2 linked regions of the Arabidopsis thaliana genome follow. The protein of the gene in region 1 interacts with the protein of each later gene in a pairwise test. Each region holds a gene or a part of one and is shown on either strand. Other genes may lie near its edges.

Evidence for each region. Proteins that work in one complex are often made in the same cells at the same time.
Region 2: the proteins of AT5G01800 (region 1) and EMS1 interact in a protein complementation assay, tested with the Arabidopsis thaliana proteins (one large-scale study listed by BioGRID).

Annotation. Positions count from the first base shown.
Region 1 is NC_003076.8:304,555-310,127, forward strand, and holds AT5G01800 (saposin B domain-containing protein), read left to right. Parts: upstream 1-2,384; 5' UTR 2,385-2,560; intron 2,561-2,852; 5' UTR 2,853-2,867; coding exon 2,868-2,955; intron 2,956-3,177; coding exon 3,178-3,326; intron 3,327-3,421; coding exon 3,422-3,622; intron 3,623-3,761; coding exon 3,762-3,821; intron 3,822-3,936; coding exon 3,937-4,092; 3' UTR 4,093-4,735; downstream 4,736-5,573. Other genes in the region: AT5G01790 (uncharacterized protein), read right to left, coding at 503-1,129.
Region 2 is NC_003076.8:2,282,954-2,289,918, reverse strand, and holds EMS1 (Leucine-rich repeat transmembrane protein kinase), read right to left. Parts: upstream 5,090-6,965; 5' UTR 4,832-5,089; coding exon 1,253-4,831; 3' UTR 1,064-1,252; downstream 1-1,063. Other genes in the region: XBAT33 (uncharacterized protein), read right to left, coding at 6,535-6,965. UniProt on the Arabidopsis thaliana protein: Receptor with a serine/threonine-protein kinase activity required for the specification of the correct number of male archesporial initials and for the subsequent specification of tapetal and middle cell layer identities.

The sequences.
Region 1 (5,573 bases):
TTAAAAATGGACCAAATGATTCTGCTATTTCGAGTGTGAGGAGGTTGTAGAAAACCAATCATATTCGACAAAAAATCAATTAAGAAGAAACCAACCACCAAACCCCATTCATTAATTTCCTTTGCTTGGAAGACAGCTAAATTAACACCAAAGAAGGCTTGTTCAAACTCACAGTTACATTTTTACACGGAACCATCCATATACAAAAAGACACACTTGCCAAAAGCTATACTTAAATTATCAAAGTTTTAGTCATGCACTTTAAACCAAAGTGAATGCGACAGTTACTATAATAATCTTCTGATCAATTTACGTAACTCTTGTAACTGTTCATTGCTCTTATTTAACAAAAAGGTAAACGTATTATATGATTCGGAGTTGCATTACCGACACAAACTGATTAAATATTATAATAATAAGACGATGGAACACAAAATAAACTAATATATGAAAAACATTTTATAAAATTTCAACGTTTTATTTTCCAAATTTTGCAGCGGAATTAGCAGAGGAAACATCTGCGGATTCCGAAGCAGGAAGTGGATTGTGATCTCTGAATTGGGTAGTCAGCAGAAGAGTCGAAGGATGAAAATCTTCGCATGACATTCCTTTCTGTTTGAAACTTGAACAGATCGTACTCATTTTCGTCGATCAACACTCTCTCCGACAGAGATGGTGGTGATGAAGCCGACAGTTTCTTAGCCTTACCATTGTGATCGCCCGATAGCCAGAAGAGCCTTGTCGGGATTAGTGCGAGGATTTTCTTGGTGGACTTTTTGGAACGGCGGCGGATTTGGTCGCCGGAGAAAGAGAAATGAGACGGCGGAGGAGTGAGAGGTGGCAGAGTAGGTAGCTCAGAGGAGGGGTGTTTGGGTGTGCCTGGATGAGATTCCCATTCGAAAGGGACGGCACCGGCGGCTCCGTCGTAGTAGTAGATTCTAAAGGAAGGACAAGCAGCTGATACCGACGAAAAACGTTGTTTGGTCGACGGTAGCTTACCGGAGAAGGTGGCGGTGTCTTGCTTTTTCAGTGAGAGTGAAGCTGCCCGCTCAGATCCCGCGTTTGGCATTATTGTCTTGGGAGAGTGAGAGAGAGAGAGGGAAGGAAAGAGAGGGAGAGATGTGTGCATGAGACATATGGAGTCAATCTATCATGTATATATGGGTGCCTGGTGTCTTTGGTACGGTTTTTACTTTTGGGCTTATTTGTTTGGCTTTGGTGTCTATAGAAACTATATATTAAAAGCAAAATGTAATAATTAATGATAGTGAAATAATAGTTTCAATAGTGCGGTTAATTAGCTCTCATAGTTAGAACTTATAAAGATACATCTCGAAGTGTGTTGGTCCAATCCTACAAAGGCAATAACCACTCGATGGATATATAAAGTCATCACAACTTATTAGACCCTTGAACACTAAGTAATGCTACCGGGTACAAAAGAAAACACTCACATATGAATAATGAGGAGATCTAAATACGTCATACTCAAGGCAAGATATTTGTATCACATGTATATAGCAATTAACGATTCATCCATGAGAATATTTACATTACAAGCCAACATATACATAACTTCAACACAAACATGTCATTGATGAGTAGATTTTATTAAGAAAGGTGTGGTTATTGTAGAAGCATTTATTTGGAGAGTAGATAGGACCATTGATGAAAACAATATGAATTGAATAATTGGTTTTTATCTGATTAAATTGGAAAACAGTGTATGACTAAACGAGCCACGACCCATGCATTCCTACATGTGCTCCACATACCTCCGAGCATTGCTTTCCTTAGTATATACACACTGATAGACCCCATGGTCGGTCCATTCTTTTGCATTAATATCTTTCATGTGATATTCATATACTCGCTCCCCTCATCAGAATTTACATCTCTTCGTTAAAGGTTAAACAAGAAGACATAATTACATTTTCTTCCGTCCATTAAAGAAAAATGAGAGATTTTTTTTTTAAAAAATTGAAGGTCTTTAAAGTATTGAGAACCGTGACCTATTTATAAGGTTTAAAACCAACAACCAAATTTCTCATTTGTTGGGTTGTGAAAGATAATTTGGCGAATATCATACAAATGCGATTAATTACGGTTTAAACATCTCCATTAAGGTATTGACAGTATCAAAATAAGGAGAAGAAAATGGAACAAACAATTTTGTCCAGAGGTGTATAAACTTGGAGTATCATATTCTTATAGCAGATGAAATAAAATACTAGTTAGTTTATTTGTTTGGAAAACAAAATAGGTAATGTGAATATAGATTTTAAAAGTAATTTTGATACTACAGCCCTTTAATTAGATTGAAAATAATAATAATAATAAAGAAAGGACCAATCATATGTTTGACAAAAAAAAGGGCCAATCATATAATTCTGTTACCATGGATCTAAATGAGAGGAGACTCTTGCTTTTTCACAAAAAAAAAGAAAAAGAGAGAGAGAGCAGCAACCCCAGCAGCATCGAAGATCGTCGATCGTCGATCGGTTGCTCTCTTTCATTAATCAGATCTAATTGATACCCAAGCTTCTTCATCGGAGGCCGTGTAAGCTAGCTTCTTCTTCTTCATCTTTTCGTACACTTATTTGATTGTTGTTTATGTATCGATTCTATGGAATAAGAGCTTTTAGCACATATTAATTTGTCCCCAGTCTCGTCGTATATGCAGACCTATTTAGCGCTTATGGTTTGATTTAGATCTGTTTAATTTAGCGTTTCAACCTAAAATTGTTGACAACTCAAAATCGGAATCCCCCAAAAAGTGTCTGTTGACTTATGAATATGGCCATCTCCAAATCGGTTTTTGATCCATCATCATTAAATTTGGTAATATATAGATCTCACGAGGAAACATGGGCGGTAGATTTGGAGTCCTCCTAGTCCTCTTCCTCTTGAGCTGGTCTTGTCATGCTACAAACCCGATTCTTCTCGAACCATTCGGTAAGAACATTTTTGAAGGCATCTAGAGTCTCTCTTGCACCTGTTTCTAATTCAAATTTGTTAAAATCTGTTCACTGGATTATTTGAATACGTTACGTTTTCAGAAAGCATTCAATCTGATATAGACATCCTGATGTATGTTTTTTTTTTTAATTGGGTTTAAGAAGTTTGCTCCATATAATATTTGTGTTGATCTCCTATGTATGATTGTTTCGTTTGCAGAATCAGCTCATGATGACAACCAAGTCTGTGAACTATGTGACAAGTATGTCACGCTAGTCATTGATTACCTTCAAGACTACGACAACCAGAATGAACTCGTTGAGGCCCTTCATATCAGCTGCTCTCAGATTCCTCCTCTCAAAAAACAGGTCTTCATTGAGTCCTTGGTTGTTTTTGCTTTCTCTATTCCTTTTCTCAGACGTGGTTATATGTTAACTATGCCCAACTCATGTGTTTGTTGCAGTGTCTTTCAATGGTAGATCATTACACCCAACTTTTCTTCACACAAGTCTCTACTATCAAATCAGACCAAATCTGCAAACGGCTTAACCTCTGTCAAGCTGTGACACCGGCCTTTGCCTCTCAAGTCCATCAAGGAAACTGCGAGGCTTGCCGCGAGACTGTCTCTGAGGTTGTCACCAAACTCAAGGATCCTGAGACTAAGGTTTGCTCAACCTTCATTCCTTCTATTATCACATACCTATTCTGTGTCGCAAACCTTAGGCTTAGCACTAAGAATTATATCAGTTAGAGATATTTATTATTGCTGCTGAAGATTGACTTTTGCCTTGTGAATGTTGCAGCTGAAGATAATTCGGTTACTTCTCAAGGAATGCAAGTCGCTTAACAATTACCAGGACAAGGTAGCTAACTAATAAAGAATGCCCGCAAAGCTCTCTCTATTTAAGCTGAGTTTTGTGATACTTTTATGGATCATCATCAGATAATAACAATGTGTTTGTTTATGATGGTGAATAGTGCAAGAAGATGGTATTCGAGTACGGGCCTCTGATGCTTACGGATTTGCAGAAGTTTCTGGAGAAGAAAGACGTGTGCACTATCCTCCACGTCTGTCCAGGTCCAGCCACCCACCGTGACTACGTTCCTGCGGTGGAGTCATTGGCAGATTCGTAAATTCGGCCACCTTGGTTTTGTCGTCATTCACACTAATACCATGCCATGATCGTGATGCTAATTTAATTTGGTAACCCGGTGGTCATGTAAATACTGATTGATATATTAAAAACATAACTACACGATTGATGATTCTTGTGTGATTTGAAAAGAACGCTGTCTAAAGGCCCATTGTCCATCGATGGGCCTTTTTGCTAATTTCTACATTGCCCATGTTGTGTAGTCTGATTTTCGCTAAAACGTTACGTTGATGCGTGTACTCAATCACTCGCCCACCATTTTCTTCTGTGAAACAGTTGGCAAAAGTTAGGGGCCGCCAAGCTGGTTTAAACTGACCCACAAGCGAATAAATGTCAGACACGTGTAAAGGACAAAGAGAGCAAGTGTCACCGTATCTATAAAAGCTAACATTAGAGGATATTCTTGCTTACGTGTGACATCGTCACTGGTACATATCATCTAAAGGAATCTTTGATCAACACTACTCTGGAAAACAAATTGTATACTATTTATAAATCTGTTGACTGTATGTATATTCAGAATTATGTGATTGATTGACTAAAAGCGACTGATTTTTAACCTTTTATAATACAAACAGAACAGTGTACATATCCAATGTAGTGAAACAAATCCTTTTATTGGGAAATAAAATTAATTTTGTAAATGAAAATTTCGTTAAAACAAACCTTAATGCTTATCGTATATTTATTTAGCTTGAAAACTAAAGAAAAGATGTAAAAAAAAAAGAACTAAGTTTGGTTAGTGTGTGTAATGACGATGAAAGATGATGAGAAGTGATAACTTATTTTAAGGGCTAAGAACAACAACAAAGTTGATTATTAGAAGAAAGAAATAATTAAAAAGCAAATTGCAAACAGCGAAAAGAGAGATGATGACAAAAAATGGTTAGTAACGGCCAAAAGGTAAACAGGTTGGCTGCTCTTTGTTTCCATTAAAATTAGTAAAAATTCCGAGAATGGCATTTTCGCAATTCATAGATATCATCAACTTGTGTGTTTGTTGGCCGATTATAATATAAAGGAAGGGAAACTCTTCTTCTCTTTCTTCTCATTTTCTCTCAATTCCTCGCAGCTGAAGCTATTTGGCATATACTTGTCTTCGCTTTTCGTAGCTCTTTCGCGCATAATAATAACTGAGGTAATTGTTCGATTCTGGTTCGCAGCGGATTTTGTCGATGCTATTGAGGAATCTAGATTTCTGTGATGGATAGATATAAGACATATCTTATGTCTCTGTTCCGATTCGATCTGTTTGTTTCGTTCCTAGTTCGATCTACTTAGATTTCGTCCCATGTTTATAGCTCTCAATCGCTTTGAATCTTGTCTTTAGTGTTCGATTTTCTGGTGTTTAATTAGGAGCAAACTAGATAGGCCTTCTTTGTTGATCCTGTCATTAATGGTTTGCTCTCTATGTTTCAGGTTGTTGTTTAATCAAGAAGAGTGTGCAAAAATTGGAAGGCC
Region 2 (6,965 bases), 2.0 Mb from region 1:
AATTTGATAGATTTGCGTATAAAATTTTTGTTTTCTAAATATTTAGGTAAACCCGAACCAAATCGAACTCGATATCAAAATCTTAAAATATCCAAATTAAGCCGAAAAACCTGAATATGAATAGCTCGATCCGAATACACGAAAGCCAAGACCTAGTTTGGTATTTGAAAACTGTAACGATAAAATTTGTTAATTTAATAAATTTCATTTTTTTTGGTGAGTGATAGGGAACAATGTCCCCTATTTTTTATTCAAACTAAAAGAAATTACAAACGAACATGACGCGGAAACGACATTCCGTTCCGGTCTTCCAACATAACCGAATAAACAGCATCCGGACAAACATAAAAAAACTGAAAACCAAGAGGTAAAGAAAATGCATAGTTCGCTAACTCATCCGCTAGACTATTAGTTTCCCTATACTTGTGAGAAATCCGGACTATCTAGTCCTTTGATATAAAGCCATAGCACATGCGTATTAGGAAGGACAGCGGGTGAGATTCACTTATCCCTGTCCGAAGAAACCCAACAACAACCTCCGAGTCCACCTCTAACTCTAATCGGGATACTTTACACTCCCAGGCCATGAATAACCCGTAGTATACACCCCATAACTCAGCAAGAGGTGTTGAGCATATCCCGATATTAATTGCAAACCCTCTGCGCCATTCCCCATTGCTCTCCTGTAAGACCCCTCCTGCCGCCGCTAATCCGGGATTGCCTCTTGACGCTCCGTCTGTATTCAGCGTGCACCAACCTTCACTTGGTCTACTCCATGAGATTAGTCTATCTTCTCTGCCCACTAATCTCCGAGACACTCCTACCACCGCATGTGCTTTAATAACTTCCCGAGCTAGGTCCATATAAAAAATGTTTGGTTTTCTTAGGTATCCATATATTATTTTTATGATTTTCTCGAATTGAACTCAGAAAAAATGAAAAAAAATTGAAACCAAATTTATTTAGCAGTACCGATGAAAACATTGCATATTTGGTTTTAAAGTTTTATCTTTGGGTTATAAACTTTTTTCTTTGGTTTGGTATAACATCAGTTTATTTCACACCTGATCATAAATTAAGTGCAATTAATTGGAAATTGGAATACCTATTTTTCTTTGTTCGACATTTAGAAGAAACTGAAGAACACTTACATTAACATTACAAATACAAACCCTACCACTCCCTTGTTTGGTTAGTACTAGCAGTTTACTTAAACAACAAGAAACAACTACAACATTTAAGGTTATATGGCTCATATCTCCTTAAGAGCCTTCAACACATCAAGCATGTTAGGGCGCTTAGCTGGCGTTTCAGCAAGACAAAGCATAGCTATCTGAAGCAGACGAAGCTGAGAGTTCTTCAAAGCCACAGATACGAGCAGTGGATCAATAACATCCACAGCTTTCCCTTGGTTGATCTTCTGAATCGCCCAACCAACCAAGTTCCCTCCTTCACTCTCCTTAAAGTCTGGACCGGTTGGCTCTTTCCCTGTGACAAGCTCCAATAGTATCACGCCAAAGCTATAGACATCTCCTTTGGTTGTGGCTCGGGCACTCTGACCATACTCCGGTGGGATATACCCGAAAGTCCCTGCTATGACTGTACTAACATGGGATTCACAGGCACTAATTAGTCTTGCTAGCCCAAAATCCGCCACCTTTGGTTCAAAATCACCATCTAACAGAATGTTGCTCGCTTTGATGTCCCTGTGTATAATGTGAGGGATGAAACCGTGATGTAGGAAAGCTAGACCTCTTGCAGCTCCAACTGCGATTTTGAGGCGTTTTGACCAGTCCAGAACCTCTAGCATCCCAGTTTGGTTCCTTAACCAGTGATCTAAGCTTCCATTTACCATATACTCATATACCAGAAGCTTCTCTTCACTGAAAGAGCAATATCCAAGCAAAGACACAAGATTCGGATGCTTCACTTTCCCTAGAGTCTCCATCTCTGCCATGAATTCTCGGTTTCCCTGCGTTTTGGCTTCACTTAGCTTCTTCACCGCTACTGTTTTCTCACCTGGTAAACAAGCTTTGTAAACCGTCCCAAAACCACCGTCTCCTATAATGTTCTTCTTAGAGAAATGATCTGTAGCCTCGACAATATCTCCTAAACGCACCTTCAGAAGCGGCTGCTCGAACATTGCTATATTGATGCTTAAAGGCTCCCTTGATCTGCTTCCACTTAAGAAATACAGGTTCTGATCAACAAACCCTTTCAATCTGCTTTCCTCCATTCGCTCTGGATCATCTCTTTGCTTCACTCTCTTTGTCATAGCCCATCTGCGCAGAGAGAAAACAAACACAAAAACGATGATCGTAAAGCCAAGCATGAGTCCTGCAATCCCCCAAGCACTCCTCAACTTAGTTCCCTCGATCTTGCAATCTGATCCAACCACTCTGCCACACAACTCTTTGTTCCCTGAAAGCAATGCCTTGGAAGGATCCTGACAAACACCATCACTCGGCACCTCTCCTCGCAGATTGTTCTTGGCTAGATTCAAGAACTCCAGATTGGGCAATCCACAGATCTTTGTTGGTATCTCTCCAGATAACAAGTTCTCAGAAACATCAAGGTACTCCAGCTGCGTAAGATTACCAAGTTCTGAAGGTATTTCCCCGGTGAACTTATTCTGCTCAATGTAGAGGCCGACAAGTTTTTCCATTGTAGACAGTTCTGATGAAAGCTCGCCACTTAGGTTGTTAAAGCTCAAGTCCATGTGTGTAAGCTCTTTCAAGTTCCCAAGAGAAGCAGGAACCGGTCCATCAAGCTTGTTCTTAGTCAAGTTTAGCTTCACCAAGCTACCTAACAAGCCAAAGCTTTCTGGAATATGGCCATTGAGCTGATTATTCGCCAAGTTTAATCCCTGCAACTTAAGAGAGTTGCCCATCTCCTTTGGAATAGATCCAGTCAGTGCATTTCCAGATAGATCCAGGATTGTGAGGTTGGTCAAACGAGAGAGTGAAGCTGGAATCTCTCCAGAGAGATGGTTGTTGCTCAGTGAAATCTCTACCAATACCAAACACTCGCCAAGTTCTTCTGGTATAGGGCCAGACAATCTATTGTAGGAGAGATCAAATATCCCATGGTGCTGAAGAAAGCTGAGATCAGGCATCTCAATCTGATGGAAATAAGCAGAGGGTTTTGATGGAATTGACCCGGAGAGATTGTTGTAAGAGAGAACCAGGCACTGAAGCTGAGCGAGAGCAGTGATTTTGTCTGGAATCTGTCCTTGAAGATTGTTGCTGCCTAGATCCAATGTAGTCAAAGAAGTACAATCACCGAGCTCAACTGGTATCTTCCCTTGAAACATGTTTGCATTCAGATTCAAGACAGACAAAGATGTGAGTTTTCCAATCTCTCTTGGGATTTCACCTGTTAACTGATTATCACTGAGAACCAACCGCTTCAGTGAAGCTGCATTACCAATCTCTGCAGGCAAATAACCTTCTAGACGATTATAAGAAGCTGTAAACTCCATCAAGTTCGTTGATTTCCAGAGACTCTTTGGGATTTCTCCTGTGAAGTTGTTGGAATCCAAGTCAAGTGCCATCAATGGAAGCTTCCAAAGATCCTCAGGAATAGAGCCATTGATCTGATTATTAGTAAGTAACAACTCTCCAAGAGAGGAACATCCATCAAAGACCTCCTCAATTGTTCCAGAAAGCAAATTCCCAGAGAGATCAATCGCCTCCAACGAACCTGAACCACAGAGCTCCCTAGGAATCGAACCACTTAACAAGTTGCTAGCTAGACTGAGATGTTTCAACATTGGACAATCCTCAATCTCATGAGGGATTTCACCTGAAAACCGATTGTTAGCTAACAGAAGTGAGTCCAGTACCTTCCATTTCCCCATCCATGAAGGCAATGAACCCGAAAGCTGATTCCTTTCAGCAGAAAACGTCAACAGAGGAATCTCTGAAAGCTCCAATGGCAAAGGTCCAGAGAGAGAATTGAAAGACAGCATCAGTGACTTGAGGCTTTTACAATTACCAAGCTCTGGTGGGATCAATCCAATAAGCTCTGCGGAGACAAGATTTAGTATACTCAGATTATGCAACTCTCCAAACGATTTGGGAATGGAACACTTGAGTGGATTATAAGAAAGGTCGAGCTTTGCTAAGTGTTTCAGTTTCGAAATCTCCTTTGGTAACGGTCCATTGAAGAAGCAAGAAGGTGCAGCAAAGTTCTTCAGCAACGAGATGTTACCAATCTCCGACGGAATTTGACCGGAAAATGAGTTGAGTCCCATGTAAAGATTGGAGAGGTTACTCAGTTTCCCGATTTCAGGAGGGATTTCGCCGGAGAGAGAGTTGTTGGAGACGTCAAGAGAAGACAGTGCAGGTAAGCTGATGAAGAACGATGGAGGAAGTGAACCGGAGAAGTGGTTGTCACTAAGGTCGAGGTAGAGAAGCTGAGGTAACTCACTGAGTAGCCTCGGGAGAAGTCCGGTGAGAGAATTTCCTGAGAGGTCAAGGGTTTGGAGATGTTTTAGATTCCAAATCTCAGGCGGAATCTTCCCGGAGAATTGATTTCCGGCAAGACAAAGCTCTCTAAGGTTCTTCAAACTCGAAATTTCCTTCGGAATCTGGCCTCTCAGAGACAAAGACGGTAAGGAGAGCGAGTTGACTCGTCCAAGCAGACACGTAACGCCAACCCAATCGCAGTGAGACGCGGAAGACGAAACGTTCCATGAAGAAAGGAGAGATGGGTTTTCTAGTGAGCGCTTGAAGGAGATGAGAGAAGTTGTTTCCGAGCTAAGATCAACAATGGCGGAACTCGAAAAAGAGAAGAAGAGAAACAGGAACAATGCGGTAAGAAACGCCATGTTCTTTTAGAGAAGGAGGAAGAAAACTCGGAGATTTAAAAGAGACGATTTTACAGAGAAAGTTTCAATTTTTACAAGAGCAGAGAAGAGAAATCACGCCATTAAAGAGAAAAAGGAAGGGTTTTTTTTTTAGGCGCGATAAAGATGAAGATGAAGATGAAGAAGAAGAAGAAGAGAGAGAGAAAGAGAAGCACGAAACTCACGTGACGTAATAAGACTTCGTAACGGCAATTTAATATTTCTTATTTTCAAGCTTTGTTTTGTTTGCGTGAATTTTTAAATATACATTTGTGATGATGAATAGTTATATATGGATGAAGGCATGGGTCAGAGTCTTGAGAGAGTACGGCTCGAATCTGCAGGAATCCCAACCACTGTGTACCAGATTAAAGCTGACGGGGTTTGTTTTCTAAATATTCGAAAGTTGTATGGTCAAATTGTAATTTTGAGTTTTTGTTTTGGCTTCTTTATTAAAAAGCTGGTCAAATTAATTGTGTATTTTCATTCATTTAATGTGATATCCGAAGATGCTTCAATCAAAACCAATTATAGATAGATTACAGCTAATCATTTTAGGGGGTGGTTTTATGTTTGGGAATTCTTGCATTTACTTTATAGCAGTAGATTTTGATTTATCTAATCTAACTACATATGTTCAGGCTTTTTTCATTGCGAACAAAAACAGAACAAAATTGTATAGTCATTATTCTTAATTTTTATAGTATACAAGTTAATTTTGCTTTCTTGTTTCGAAGATAATTAAGAAAGGGGGTTAAAATTAAGAAAACAGAGAATGTGGTGGTCCATTGTAAATTAAAAAAATGAGGAGAAAAAAGAGCAGAGTTCCCCCACATGTCTTCTTTCCCCTTTGGGAATGTTTAAGCTTTTTCCCTTTGGGATCTGTTTCCATTTTTCTAATCACATAAAGACTTTACCCCCATTAGATTATTAAACCTAATTAAGTGAATATAGTTGATTATAAGGTTAGTGGACCACTCTTTCTCATAAATTCATTATAGGTTGAACTATATAGAATTATTGATCCATGACATAATAATAAGTTAATAAAAAAAATGGTAATGTAATTGAAATTTAAAGTCATATAGACTAGCTCTGCAAATGAAGATTTCGAAGTAGCAAAGCCAAAAATGGGAATGCTTTTTGAAATTGGCGCATCACTGAAACCAAACCAGTTCGAGTCCAACTAATTGAGTGATAGCTTCATTTGTTTGTTTGTTTTTCGTTTTTTCTTTCTTTTGGATCCAAGAACTAATAAGAGTAAAAGTAGTATTAAGTTATTTGCAGAGGAAGAAAATGACTTGGACTTTGTGTGGTCAGATTTTTCTCATCAAGAGCTATAGAGAATCATTCATTATTACCTTTAGTTTTGTTTGACTTCTTCTAGTTCTTGGGTTGAAAATTATAAGAAAGTCTCAATATTTTCATCTATGTACTATAACAAATGGGTCCAACTAATAAAAATAGAAAGATTTTGCAAAATGACCCCATCATTATGTTGACAATTACAAATCATCATCCATAATTAATAACTTGAGCCTCTCCAAAGTCAAAAACAAACGTTACAAACCTAACAAGAAGACTCTCTGTGTTGTGGCTCATCCCCATTTTAAAAGTAAGAAATGATGGGAGACATATAGATTCTCCTCTTTCTTTCTCTGTACATACAAATAATATGTTTATGATCAAGCATTGATCTCGGAGTTGCATTGGTTCTCTCTGCTACAGCTTCTTCTTCCCCAGAACATACTTGAACAAGTTGTTGTTTTCCCAAGTCTTTGCCCTTCTTCTATCTTCTCCTGTTCAGTTGTTGTTCGAGAAGGAGAAGATTCGACGTGTTCTTCGCTATGTCTCTCTGTTCCATGTGTCTCAAAGTTTGGACATGTCCCTTCGTTGCAGGTGCACATTGGAATGTTTACTGAAGGGAATGGGCTGCATGTTACCGGACAGAATATATCAGATGAAACCGAGGCTGCACGGGTCTTGCTGCTGCGTTGTTCTGTTGGTGGGCATGTCGGTGATGATTGATCTGTTGTGTCTCCCGTGTGAAGCATACATGGTGCACAGAACCCGAGTGACATGGGTAACTTCATTTCTCTTGTCAGGGAGCTTGGGA